Linked DNA regions of Macaca fascicularis. The protein of the gene in region 1 purifies or fractionates together with the protein of each later gene. This does not show direct contact. Links are inferred from orthologs where the notes say so. Each region holds a gene or a part of one and is shown on either strand. Other genes may lie near its edges. The genes, in order: DDX17, HDAC2 and HDAC1.

The links.
Region 2: the proteins of DDX17 (region 1) and HDAC2 purify together in Homo sapiens (affinity purification with western blotting; 3 studies listed by BioGRID, with this or other methods). This does not show direct contact. The link is inferred for Macaca fascicularis from reciprocal best matches to the Homo sapiens genes DDX17 and HDAC2.
Region 3: the proteins of DDX17 (region 1) and HDAC1 purify together in Homo sapiens (affinity purification with western blotting; 3 studies listed by BioGRID and IntAct, with this or other methods). This does not show direct contact. The link is inferred for Macaca fascicularis from reciprocal best matches to the Homo sapiens genes DDX17 and HDAC1.

The regions. Positions count from the first base shown.
Region 1 is NC_088384.1:13,144,626-13,148,374, forward strand, and holds the start of DDX17 (probable ATP-dependent RNA helicase DDX17), read left to right. Parts: upstream 1-1,069; 5' UTR 1,070-1,380; coding exon 1,381-1,430; intron 1,431-3,749. UniProt on the Homo sapiens protein: As an RNA helicase, unwinds RNA and alters RNA structures through ATP binding and hydrolysis.
Region 2 is NC_088378.1:17,991,545-17,995,193, reverse strand, and holds part of HDAC2 (histone deacetylase 2), read left to right. Parts: intron 1-1,017; coding exon 1,018-1,159; intron 1,160-3,649. UniProt on the Homo sapiens protein: Histone deacetylase that catalyzes the deacetylation of lysine residues on the N-terminal part of the core histones (H2A, H2B, H3 and H4).
Region 3 is NC_088375.1:202,730,411-202,734,143, forward strand, and holds the start of HDAC1 (histone deacetylase 1), read right to left. Parts: upstream 2,817-3,733; 5' UTR 2,720-2,816; coding exon 2,671-2,719; intron 2,648-2,670; exon of another isoform or gene 2,454-2,647; intron 1-2,453. UniProt on the Homo sapiens protein: Histone deacetylase that catalyzes the deacetylation of lysine residues on the N-terminal part of the core histones (H2A, H2B, H3 and H4).

The DNA.
Region 1 (3,749 bases):
TTTTTTTTTTTTTTTGAGACATGGTCTCGCCCCGTCTCCAGGCTGGAGTGCAGTGGCAGGATCTCGGCTCACTGCGACCTCCGACTCCCAGGTTCAAGCGATTCTCCTGCCTCAGCCTCCCAAGTATCTGGGACTACAGGCGCCCGCCACCATGCCCTGCTAATTTTTGTATTTTTCGTAGAGACAGGGTTGTGCCATTTTGGCCAGGCTGGTCTCGAACTCCGGACCTCAGGTGATCCTCCCGCCTCGGCCTCCCAAAGTGCTGGTATTACAAGCGTGAGCCACCGTGCCCGGCCTCCAAGCACATTTTGTTTCTGTATTAGCAACAGCTGTGCTCGGCCAGAGACGGTGAAAATACACGGTTCAGAAAATGCACCTCGGTGTGAACCAAGTGTAGCTGAGGACCCTTTAACCTGGAGCGGACATCGCCACCTCATAAACTCCCGAAAGAAAGGGACACGGCGCATCCATCATGGCTGCCGGAGACAGAACAGCGAGAGGCAACGGAAAGGAAATGGCGCCGGGGCCCGCCGCCATTCTCAGCGGGCCGAGGGCTGCGGGGCGAGAGGGCTGCCGGCCCCATGTAGGAAGGCCAGCCAGGGAACTTAAGACCCTCCCGACTTCTGGCACCAGGAGGCCCTGAAACTTGATAACAATATGGAGGACGGTTATTGTCTCTGCAAAGCAACTTCCACAAGCCGGCCGCGGGGTCTGTCCCGAGATCGGAATCAGGCAAAATCCTCTATTCTCTAAACAGAATGCGTTACGCATACTGCGCATCTTCGCAACAGCGGGCCGGCTAACGACGCAAAGAATGTTACGTCGCACCAGAGGCGCTTCCTCCCACCGCACCCCACGTTCTAGTTCAGGTGGCGCGAGAACTCTACGCTCGCTCCGTACTTTGTTTTTCTTGTACAGACCGCAAAATACGCCGATCGTCGCAACTGACGTAAAGCGCTTCCAAGAATACCCGTAGTTCCCCGCGGAGCCCTCGGGCTATTCCGAGACGCTGTTTACGTATCGTCTCCGGCGTACGTAGCGTTAAGTTGGAGCCGACTCAGCTGCGGCCGCCATTTTGTGCAGTCGCTGGGAAGGAAGGAGACGCCTAAACCGCGGCACTGCCCGGTTTGAGCGTAGCCAAACCTGCCCGCCGGCTTTGTAGCCCCGATTCTCTGTGTTTTGCTCCCGTCTCCGACGAGAGAGGCGGCGACGGTGGCGTCTGCGACGGGAGACAGCGCGTCGGAGCGAGAGAGCGCTGCGCCTGCCGCCGCCCCAACAGCGGAGGCGCCGCCGCCATCGGTCGTCACCAGACCGGAGCCGCAGGCCCTCCCGAGCCCGGCCATCCGTGCCCCGCTCCCAGATCTCTATCCTTTTGGGACCATGCGCGGAGGAGGCTTTGGGGACCGGGACCGGGATCGTGACCGTGGAGGGTAAGGGTGGGGGAGGAGAGGAGAGGCCTGGCGTGGGGGTGGGGGTGGGGGAGTTGCTTTCTGGGGAGGCCCAGCGGACTGCGGGCCTGGGAGTCCTGCTCCTGACCCCGGGAGGCGAGGCGACTCGAGGCCAGACAGCGGTTTCGTGCGCGGGCCTCGGCTCCAGGGTCACTCGGGACCCAAGGAGGGCGGCGGCTTGGCGACGCTGGGCCTCTCTTTGCGAAAGGCAGTCGTGGCGCGGCCCGGCCTCGTCTCAGCCCCGCGGGGGATCGGGAGGGGCGGCCTGGCCGCAGCAGCCCCGGCCCGGGCTTAGGCGCCTCGCCTGGCGTCCCGGCTCTCGGGCCTGGCCGCTTGGAGCGGGCCGTTTGATGTCTTCAGGCCTCGGCGTTCATCTGGAAAAACACGGATCTTCCTAAGAGAAGACTTCAGCCCAGGAAAGCTTTACACGAAATGGCAGCCTTGACGTTCTCTCCCCAGAGTTCACTGTTTAAGACACGAGACGAAAAGACCAGCTTCTCATTTTTAAAAATAGGTTTTAATCCTCTTCAGTCGTATTTTAAGTCGAAGGAAATGCATTGGGATGTAAAGCAATGGAGTTGCTTGCCATCTAAATGACCGTGTTTGGGGGAAGGATTTTTTTTGGGTCGTTAATTTAGTTTTAATATTTCGGCGTTTTTTCTCTAATTGGACTGCAGCATCAACTATTCTGCCTCGCTAGAAAGTTCTTGGTATTGTGGGCCGGGCGCAGGCCTCAGGCCCGTAATCCCAACACCTTGGGAGGCCGAGGCGGGCGGATCACCAGAGGTCGGGAGTTCGAGACCAGCCTGGCCAACATGGAGAAACCCTGTCTCTACTGAAAATACAAAATTAACCTGGCTTGGTGGCGCATGTCTGTAATCCCAGCTGCTCGGGAGGCTGAGGCACGAGAATCGCTTGAACTCGGGAGGCAGAGGTTGCAGTGAGTGGAGATAGCGCCACTGCACTCCAGCCTGGGCAGCAGAGCGAAACTCCGATTGCCCGCTCCCTGCTTCCAAAAAGAGTAAAGTGACGCCACTTTATATGTGTGTGTGACCTTGGTCAAGATCCGTAACTTTTGTGAGCTTGTTTCCTTTGAGGAAGGTGATAATAATTGCATTTACTTTGGTGTGTTGTCAGGAATTAAGAGATAATGGATGTAATAGTCTCGCTGTAGTAGGCACTCTATTAACCGTACTTTCCCCAAACGTTTTGTCTTTCGTGGTTCAGATGCACAACTACTGGATTTACTAGTCACAAGCACTTCAGTTACCAGTTTTTACAAAATTATTTTGATTTATACCTTATTAGGAAGGAAAATATTTGATCTCATTGTTTAAAGGACGAGAGATGGAATGTTTGCTTGTGTTTGACAGTATTGCTGAGTTTAGAAGTGAATTTCAGTACAACCACTTAGAAAAAGAATTTAAGATTATCTAGAAAAATTGAAAACAGCCCAGTAATTCCTCCCTAAGCTTTACACCCTAGACTGTAATGCCTAGAGAAATCCTTGCACACGTGCCTCAGGATCCTTGTACAGAAAAGTTTATATACCAGCATTCCTGCTAACAGGATATTGGAAATAACTCAAATGTCTCCATAAATTGTGGGTATTCGTGCAATTGAATACAATTTAATCAGCTGTGAAAAAGAGAAAAGAACTTGGATTAATGTGGATAAGTCACAGACATGTTGAGTTAAAAAGCAAGTTGTGGTAGGGTGACACATTTAAGGATATGTGCAAATATGACAGGAAAGGGAATGGTTAACAAAATTCAAGGTAGTGGTTATTAGGGTGAAAGTTGTAAACTTGAAATAGGCACATAAAGGGGATACAAGGTACTAATAGTGTTCTGTTTCTTTACCATGGCTGTTTGGTTTAGTATTTCCTTTCACCATATATATGCTTTAATAAGTTATTTGAAAGGAAAAAAGTGAATTACTGATCCATACTTTAACTCTTTGTATCAGATGACATTTTTTAAAAATTTCAAACGAACTGGCCTTCTTTCATAAGATCTTTGTCACAACTCTCCCTTTCCCAAGAAATGTTCTTGATTATTTGAATTGCTGTTTTACTCTTAAATGTATGCTACACAGTTGAAGTGGTGGTTACTTTGAAAAAGGAATAGGTGAGGTCAGTTCATGTGTTTCACGTGTGTGATGCAAAAATGATATGCATTGTACATGTGATGGTTTTTAATGTTTAATATATGAATGTTAATATGTGGTTTTTAATGTTAATATATGAATCTTCAAAGGTGAATTTTTTTTTGCAAAGCCAAATTAAACTTATTACTGACT
Region 2 (3,649 bases), on another chromosome or scaffold:
TTACCTTGATCACAGCCTCATTTCTGTTTTTTAAATTTTGTGAAGAAATTTTGCTATACTATTATACGCTCTTTATATTCTTATGAGAATAGTCTCATGAGTGCTTAGTCTGGAAATATCAATTTACATTGTATTGTTTTATTTAGCACAGCTATGGCATCATTACATAATAAATACAATGCTTTGCCATCTAATAACAAAATCTCACTTCATTGTACTTCAGAAGGATGACATGAGAAGTCCATTTTCCCTTTATTTTGACATGAGTATACACTGGTAACAAAATGTCATGATATGGTGATTCATGTGGCTCCTAAACTGTGTTTGAGTTACAACTGTGTCATTGTTATCTGTGGTGTTCCAAGCACCAGTTTGAAATGATGAGAGTACCACATGTAGCCTCTGTCACAGCTAACCAATTCTGAAGTTCAAATGGAGCCATGGGTAATAAACAATTGAGCATGGCCATCTTTCAGTAAAACTTTTTCTATGGACACTGAAATTTGAATTTTTTAATTGTCACATGTCAGAAAATACTCTTGTTTCGGTTTTGTTTTTAAACCATTTAAAAAATATAAAAACTATTCTTAGTTCAAAGCTGAAAAAAGAGGCAATTGGCCAAATTTGGGCCATGGGCTATAGTTAGCCAATCCCTATTTTATAATATTGAAGATTTATTACAGAGGTGTTTTAATTAAAGTAACAATCTTGAGTATGGTATAATCTTCAGTTTTTCATATATTAGAAACATGTGCTATGTTTTTGAAGCATGTAGAATGGAACAAATTTCACAAAGAGTAAATATGTATTTTTTAACCTACGTAGGGCCATAAGTGGGTATTTAAAGGCCTAAGGCTCAAACCTCAGATATTTGAATAGCCTTTTAGGCCGAATTTAAAAGGTGATTAAACATCCTGGAATGTTAGAACTCAAAAATAGGTTTCCTGAATTTGTGGTGCTTCTTCCCATCTTATAACCTTTAAAGAAAAAAACAAAAACTTATGGATTTGCTTTCAGGTATCATCAGAGAGTCTTATATATTGATATAGATATTCATCATGGTGATGGTGTTGAAGAAGCTTTTTATACAACAGATCGTGTAATGACGGTATCATTCCATAAATATGGGGAATACTTTCCTGGCACAGGAGACTTGAGGGTAAGACTAAATTCTGTCTTAATAAATACTGTGAGACGAACCTAGGAGATCAGTAACCTTATACTTGAAGTAGAATTTTTCCTGAGTTAATAATTTGAAACTTGTATGCAGAATTCAATTACTTCATATGCAGTAACATTTGCTAAAATTCACTGTTGCTAACTAAGCAAAAATTTAGTGAGAACTTAAGGACTGTTTTTTTTTTTTTTTTTCTCAGCTGTTTTCTTTGGTTGAATAAATATTTTTGAATATCCACAAAGCACGAAGCCCTTCTCTTGATGTTCAGTTTGAATCTTCAAAACTACCTGATGGTAGCCTATGTTGCTATTGATTATAAGGATCGGTGGAATAAAATAGACTAGGTCTTTTTAGGTTCTTCTGCTCCTCTCTTTTGTGATTGGTCTTGACTTTTAGTAGGTCTAATTTTAATCTTTTTTTTTTCCTTAAACTTCTAAAGTTGGTAATGTATTTACGTAGAGAAAGAATAGTGTAGCCCTGCCTGCCTGTTACATTAAGTGTATTTCTATTTTATTTCTGTTATCTTTTTCCATTTGATGCTCTTGTCTTTTATGACTGTGAAAACCACTGGTCAAATCCTATTTCTGTAAGCTCATTGAAGGTTTTTTGCCTCACCACACTTTTTTTGAACCTAACTACACACATGTTGAAATTTATTCAATAATTTAAACAGCTGTTTTTAGTTCAGCCTGGATTATATGGGAGATTTGTCTTATATGGCATTGAACAAAGTTCTAAACTATTTTATTAAGGTTATTTTTCACGTCTATGGTATGTTGTTACAGTTTAGCAACCAGAATTTAAAGAGTTGCCATAAAGTATTCTTAAGCTGTATGGCTTTTCTTTGTTAGACCACAATGTGATCCTTTCTCAGTAAACTCTTTGAGTAAAAGAGTTACCTTAGTAAAACTTTTCCATACTTACAAATGGGTGGGAGGTCAAATGTTTGGTTTGAGTTTAAATTATTTAGCTTTTAAAATTGCAGATTTGTAATTTCAGTTCCTTGCCAGTAAACTCCTTCAATTTATCCTTTTCTCCACCTGGTCATACAGACTAGTGGTTCTCAAACAGTGGACCCTAAACTGAGGAGAAAGCAGACCAGCATCACCTGGGAACTTGTTAGAAATACACATTCTTAGGGCCCAGAAACTGGGTGATTTGAGAATCACTGCTGTAAACCGATAGAATATATTTGTCAGCAACCATTACATCCTAGTGGAAGTCAAGCAAAAGTCTTCTCTGTTTTAAGCTTAAAGAATAAGACAGTATCTTTGCAGTATGATCCTAGTTTATCTCAGAAGTGGAAAATGGAAGCCTCATGTAATTTCTGACAGGTGAATGTCGCTATGGTCTCTTCTCAGTTATTATTCATAATTCTTACAGTTTGAAGTTTTTGAAAATATTAGAGAATGCATGTTTTAGAAGGATTTGAGACTGGGTTTCAACATCTTTTTCTTAAGATTTTACAGTCGCTGTATTAAATGATGTTTTAAGGATAACATTTGAATATTTTAAGCATGTCCACATAATTTTGTGAGAGAATTAAAATCAGTCGTTACATTATACGTACTGCTGTATTTGGACTTTCTGTGTAACTCACATGTATCTTTGGATGTTAATTTAATAAACACTCGCTTTTTCTGCCTGCTAATTCATTCTAATGCTGAAAAGAAGGCTACGCTGAGCTTAGCTCATTGTTGAAACTCTGTTTGCTTTAATTCGAGTAGTCAGTGGAAGAAAGAAAGGTGGCGTAGTAGCAGTTGCAGAATGAGACCTGGAAAAGATAAAGCTTAGTCTAACAAGGGCAGCAGCTCTGAGTTGCCAGCTAGTTAGTGGCAGTTAGGATGAGAAGTGCTGACCAACTTTTCTGCATTCTGAAATCTTAGAGTCAAAATATATTTCGTCTGTGTTTTAACTGTGCAGTAGGAGTGTAAGGATTCACTATACTTTGTCTTTTCCATATTTGTATGGCTTATATTTAGTTACTAAATCTTAATAAAAATTTAGACTGCAAGAAAAATTGGGAGAGGAGGTGTGTAATTTTGCTTGCTTTCCCCTCGTTGGATGATGGGTCTCATAACTCTAATATTGAGGGTAAATTTTGCTTTTGTGAAATTGAACTGAAGCTAAGACCATTCCATGAGAGGTTCAGGAAGAACTTGCACAAGTGCTAGTAATCCTAAAAATTCATGGATCTTCAGACATTATAATTTAACACACATAAGAATTAGGCACCCCACACCCCAGCCAGGCACGGTGGCTCGTGCCTGTGATCCCAGCACTTTGGAAGGCTGAGTCAAGTGGATTACCTGAGGTCAGGAGTTCGAGACCAGCCTGACCAATATGGTGAAACCCTGTCTCTACTAAATACAAAAAAGAATTAGGTGGACGTGGTGGCATGCACCTGTAGTCCCAGCAACTTGGGAAGCTGAGACAGGACAATTGCTTGAACCGAGGAGGCGATCTTGGCTC
Region 3 (3,733 bases), on another chromosome or scaffold:
CCTCAGCCTCCTGAGTAGCTGGGACTACAGGCATGTGCCACCACACCTGGCTAATTTTTTTATTTTTTTGAGATCGAGTCTCACCCTGTTGCCCAGGCTAGAGTGCGGTGGCGCAATCTTGGCTCACTGCAACCTCTGCCTCCCAGGTTCAAGTGATTCTCCTGCCTCAGCCTCCTGAGTAGCTGGGATTACAGGTGCGTGCCACTACGCCCAGGTAATTTTTGTATTTTTAGTAGAGACGGGGTTTCACCACGTTGGCCAGGCTGGTCTTGAACTCCTGGCCTCGAGTGATCTCCTGCCTCGGCCTCCCAAAGTACTGGGATTACAGGCGTGAGCCACTGCACCTGGACCCCATGACTTTAATTTCTTTCTCTTTTTTTTTTTTTTGAGACGGAGTCTCCCTCTGTCGCCCAGGATAGAGTGCAGTGGCATGATCTCCACTCACTGCAAGCTCCACCTCCCGCATCCACACCATTCTCCTGCCTCAGCCTCCCAAGTAGCTGGGATTATAGGCGCCCGCCACCACGCTCGGCTAATTTTTTTGTATTTTTAGTAGAGACGGGGTTTCACAAGTTAGCCAGGATGGTCTCGATCTCCTGACTTCGTGATCTGCCCTCCTCAGCCTCCCAAAGTGCTGGGAGTACAGGTGTGAGCCACCGTGCCCAGCCCATGACTTTAATTTCTAAGGTATAAACCTGATGATGTCACTAACCTGCATAAAACTTGAATCATTCACAAGTGCCCTCAATAAAGTCCAACTTCCTTGGGACAGCATGCCCAGCCCTTCATGGTCTGGTCCCTGTTTACATTTTTTTTTTTTTAAGACATAGCCTCACTCCGTTGTCCAAGCTGGAGTGCAGTGGTATGATCTTGGCTCACTGCAACCTCCACCTCCCGGGTTCTAAGGGATTCTCCTGCCTCAGGCTCCAGAGTAGCTGGGATTACAGGTGCGCGACACCATGCCCGGCTAATTTTGTATTTTTAGTAGAGACGGGGTTTCGCCATGTTGGCCAGGCTGGTCTCGAACTCCTGACCTCAGATGATCCACCAGCCTTGGCCTCCCAAAGTGCTGGGATTACAGGTGTGAGCCACCTCACCTGGTCGGTCTCCATTTACTTCAGCAACCACATTATTTGCAACACTTCCCTCGCCCCGGGTCCCCACCTTCTACAATAGGCCCCCAAATCTATGTCTCAGCCATACTGTTACAAATGCCTTTGGCCGGGCGCGGTGGCTCACGCCTGTAATCCCAGCACTTTGGGAGGCCGAGGCGGGCGGATCACAAGGTCAGGAGATCGAGACCACGGTGAAACCCCGTCTCTACTAAAAATACAAAAAATTAGCCGGGCGCGGTTGTGGGCGCCTGTAGTCCCAGCTACTCGGGAGGCTGAGGCAGGAGAATGGCGTGAACCCGGGAGGCGGAGCTTGCAGTGAGCCGAGATCGCGCCACTGCACTCCAGCCTGGGCGACAGAGCGAGACTCCGTCTCAAAAAAAAAAAAAAAAAAAAAAAAAAAAAAAAAAAAAAACAAATGCCTGCTTTTCTTTCTTCCCTTTTTTTTTTTTTTTTGAGACAGAGTCTTGCTCTGTCACCCAGGCTGGAATCCAGTGGCCTGATCTCATCTCACTGCAACCTCCACCTCCCAAGTTCAAGGGATTCTCCTGCCTCAGCCTCCCAAGTAGCTGGAATTACAGGCGCGCGCCACCACGCCCAGCTACTTTTTATATTTTTGTAGAGACAGGGTTTTGCCATGTTGGCCAGGCTGGTCTCGAACTCCTGACCTCAAGTGATCCGCCTGCCCTGGCCTCCCAAAGCGCTCGGATTACAGGCGTGAGCCACCGCGCCCGGTCAAATGCCTGTTTTTCAAAGGTGCTGTCCTCTCTCTTGCCTCTGAAACTTGCTGTTATCTTTGCCTTCCCTTTGCCTGGCTAAGAACTCCTGTTCTTCAGGTCCTGAGACGTCCCCTCCTTCGCTGACTCCTCAGGTGGAGTTCGGTGCCTATTCTCTGTGCTCCTCTAACACTCTGAGCTCTGACACGGAGAGAACTTCGGTCACTGGGACCCGATCATTCCCACCGCCCCAGCCCCTCAACACTTCCTCGAACACAGTAACCTGCTTGAGAGATTAAGTGAGAAGCCTGTTTTAACAGGTTGCATCCTTCTCCTTGCAACCCCTGGCGCCCCACGTCGCAGTAGCAACCGCAGGCCCCGCTCAGAGGCTGGGGGAGGGGAGGCGGGCGACCAGTCGTGCAGGGCTCTTCTCCCAGAAAAGATGAGGAAGAGACGGGGCAGGGAAGAGCTTTGGGTTCTCGGCAAGAAAATGTATCCTTGCAGCCGTCTCCATCAGATTCAGCCTCCCTCCTCGGACGCACCCTCCCCTCTAGGAGTCCCACTCAAACTCTCCACATCAAACTCTCCACATCAGACTTCCTCAGAATCTTCCCACCAAGATTACCTCAGGGTTCCCCCACGCGATCCCCTCGATCTCAGCCTCGATCTCCTTTCCTCACAGCCTCCTCCCTCAGCCTCGACTTCCCCCTCGCAGCCTCCTCTCCGAGCCTCTCCCCAGCGCCTCAGCCTCCCGCAGCCTCCCATCGGCGCTCCAGCCTCAGCCTCCAGGTCCCCGGTTCGGCCCGGCCCGGCCCCGCCCCCGCCGCGAGGACAGTGCTCACCGTCGTAGTAGTAACAGACTTTCCTCCGGGTGCCCTGCGTCTGCGCCATCTTGCTCGCCTCCCGTCCCTACCGTCAGTCGGTCCGTCCGCCCTCCCGCCCGCGGCTCAGCTCAGCGTCCGACCCAGGGGGGAGGGGGCGGGTCTCCGGCCCGCCCCGCCCGTCTCCTCCTGAGCTCACCTATAGCCGCGCAGCCCGGGCACCGCTCCAGCCAATCAGCTTGCGCAGACACGGGCCCGGAACTCGGCAGGGGGCAAGGGCAGCCCGGAGAGGCCGCCGAGGGCCCCCTGGGCCTGTACCAAGGTCTGCGACAGATGGGTGGGGAGCCGCCCGGGGACCGTACCATCAGTCCCGGGGGAGGAAAGCAGCTCCGTAAACTTAACAGTCCCACTTGGTCGTGAAAAGCGTGCTTGGAGATCGGAGGCCAACTTTCTGATTTTACGGAGAATAAACCGAGGCCTACAGGGGAAAAGTGACTTGCACAAGGTCACTCAGCCAATAAAAGGGCTGAACCTGGGTTAGAAAGCGAGTTTGTGATCGCAAAGGAGGGCTACAGAAAAATAATTAAATTAAAAAGAAAAGCAACACGCTGGTTTTGAGAGGAAGAAACTGACAAGAAAGGGAAAGAAAGCTGTTTGTCGAGGGGCTGCTGTGTGCCAAGTACTGTGCGACAGTTTACCAATGTTATTTCAGTTTTTCCTCAAAACACCTCTCGGCCAAGGGCTTTTTACCTCCATTTTACAGGACAGGATAAAGAAGTTCAGATTTCTGTGAATTACTCAAAGTTACACAAAGTAATTAAATTCAATTTTTCAACTGTACAGGGTTTTTTGAATGCCTTCTTTGCACCAGAGGCACTGTAACAAAGTGACAGAACCCAGCCTTTCTGACTCCAAAACCTACCTCCCTGAAGCAGTCACCCAGGATGACTTAAGTAGGAGTCTCTTTAGACAGGAAGAAATGGGATTATCCTATGATAGGAGAGCAGATTTTCCTTTCCTTTCCTTTCCTTTCCTTTCCTTTTTCCTTTCCTTTTTCCTTCCCTTCTCTTCCCCTCCCTTCCCC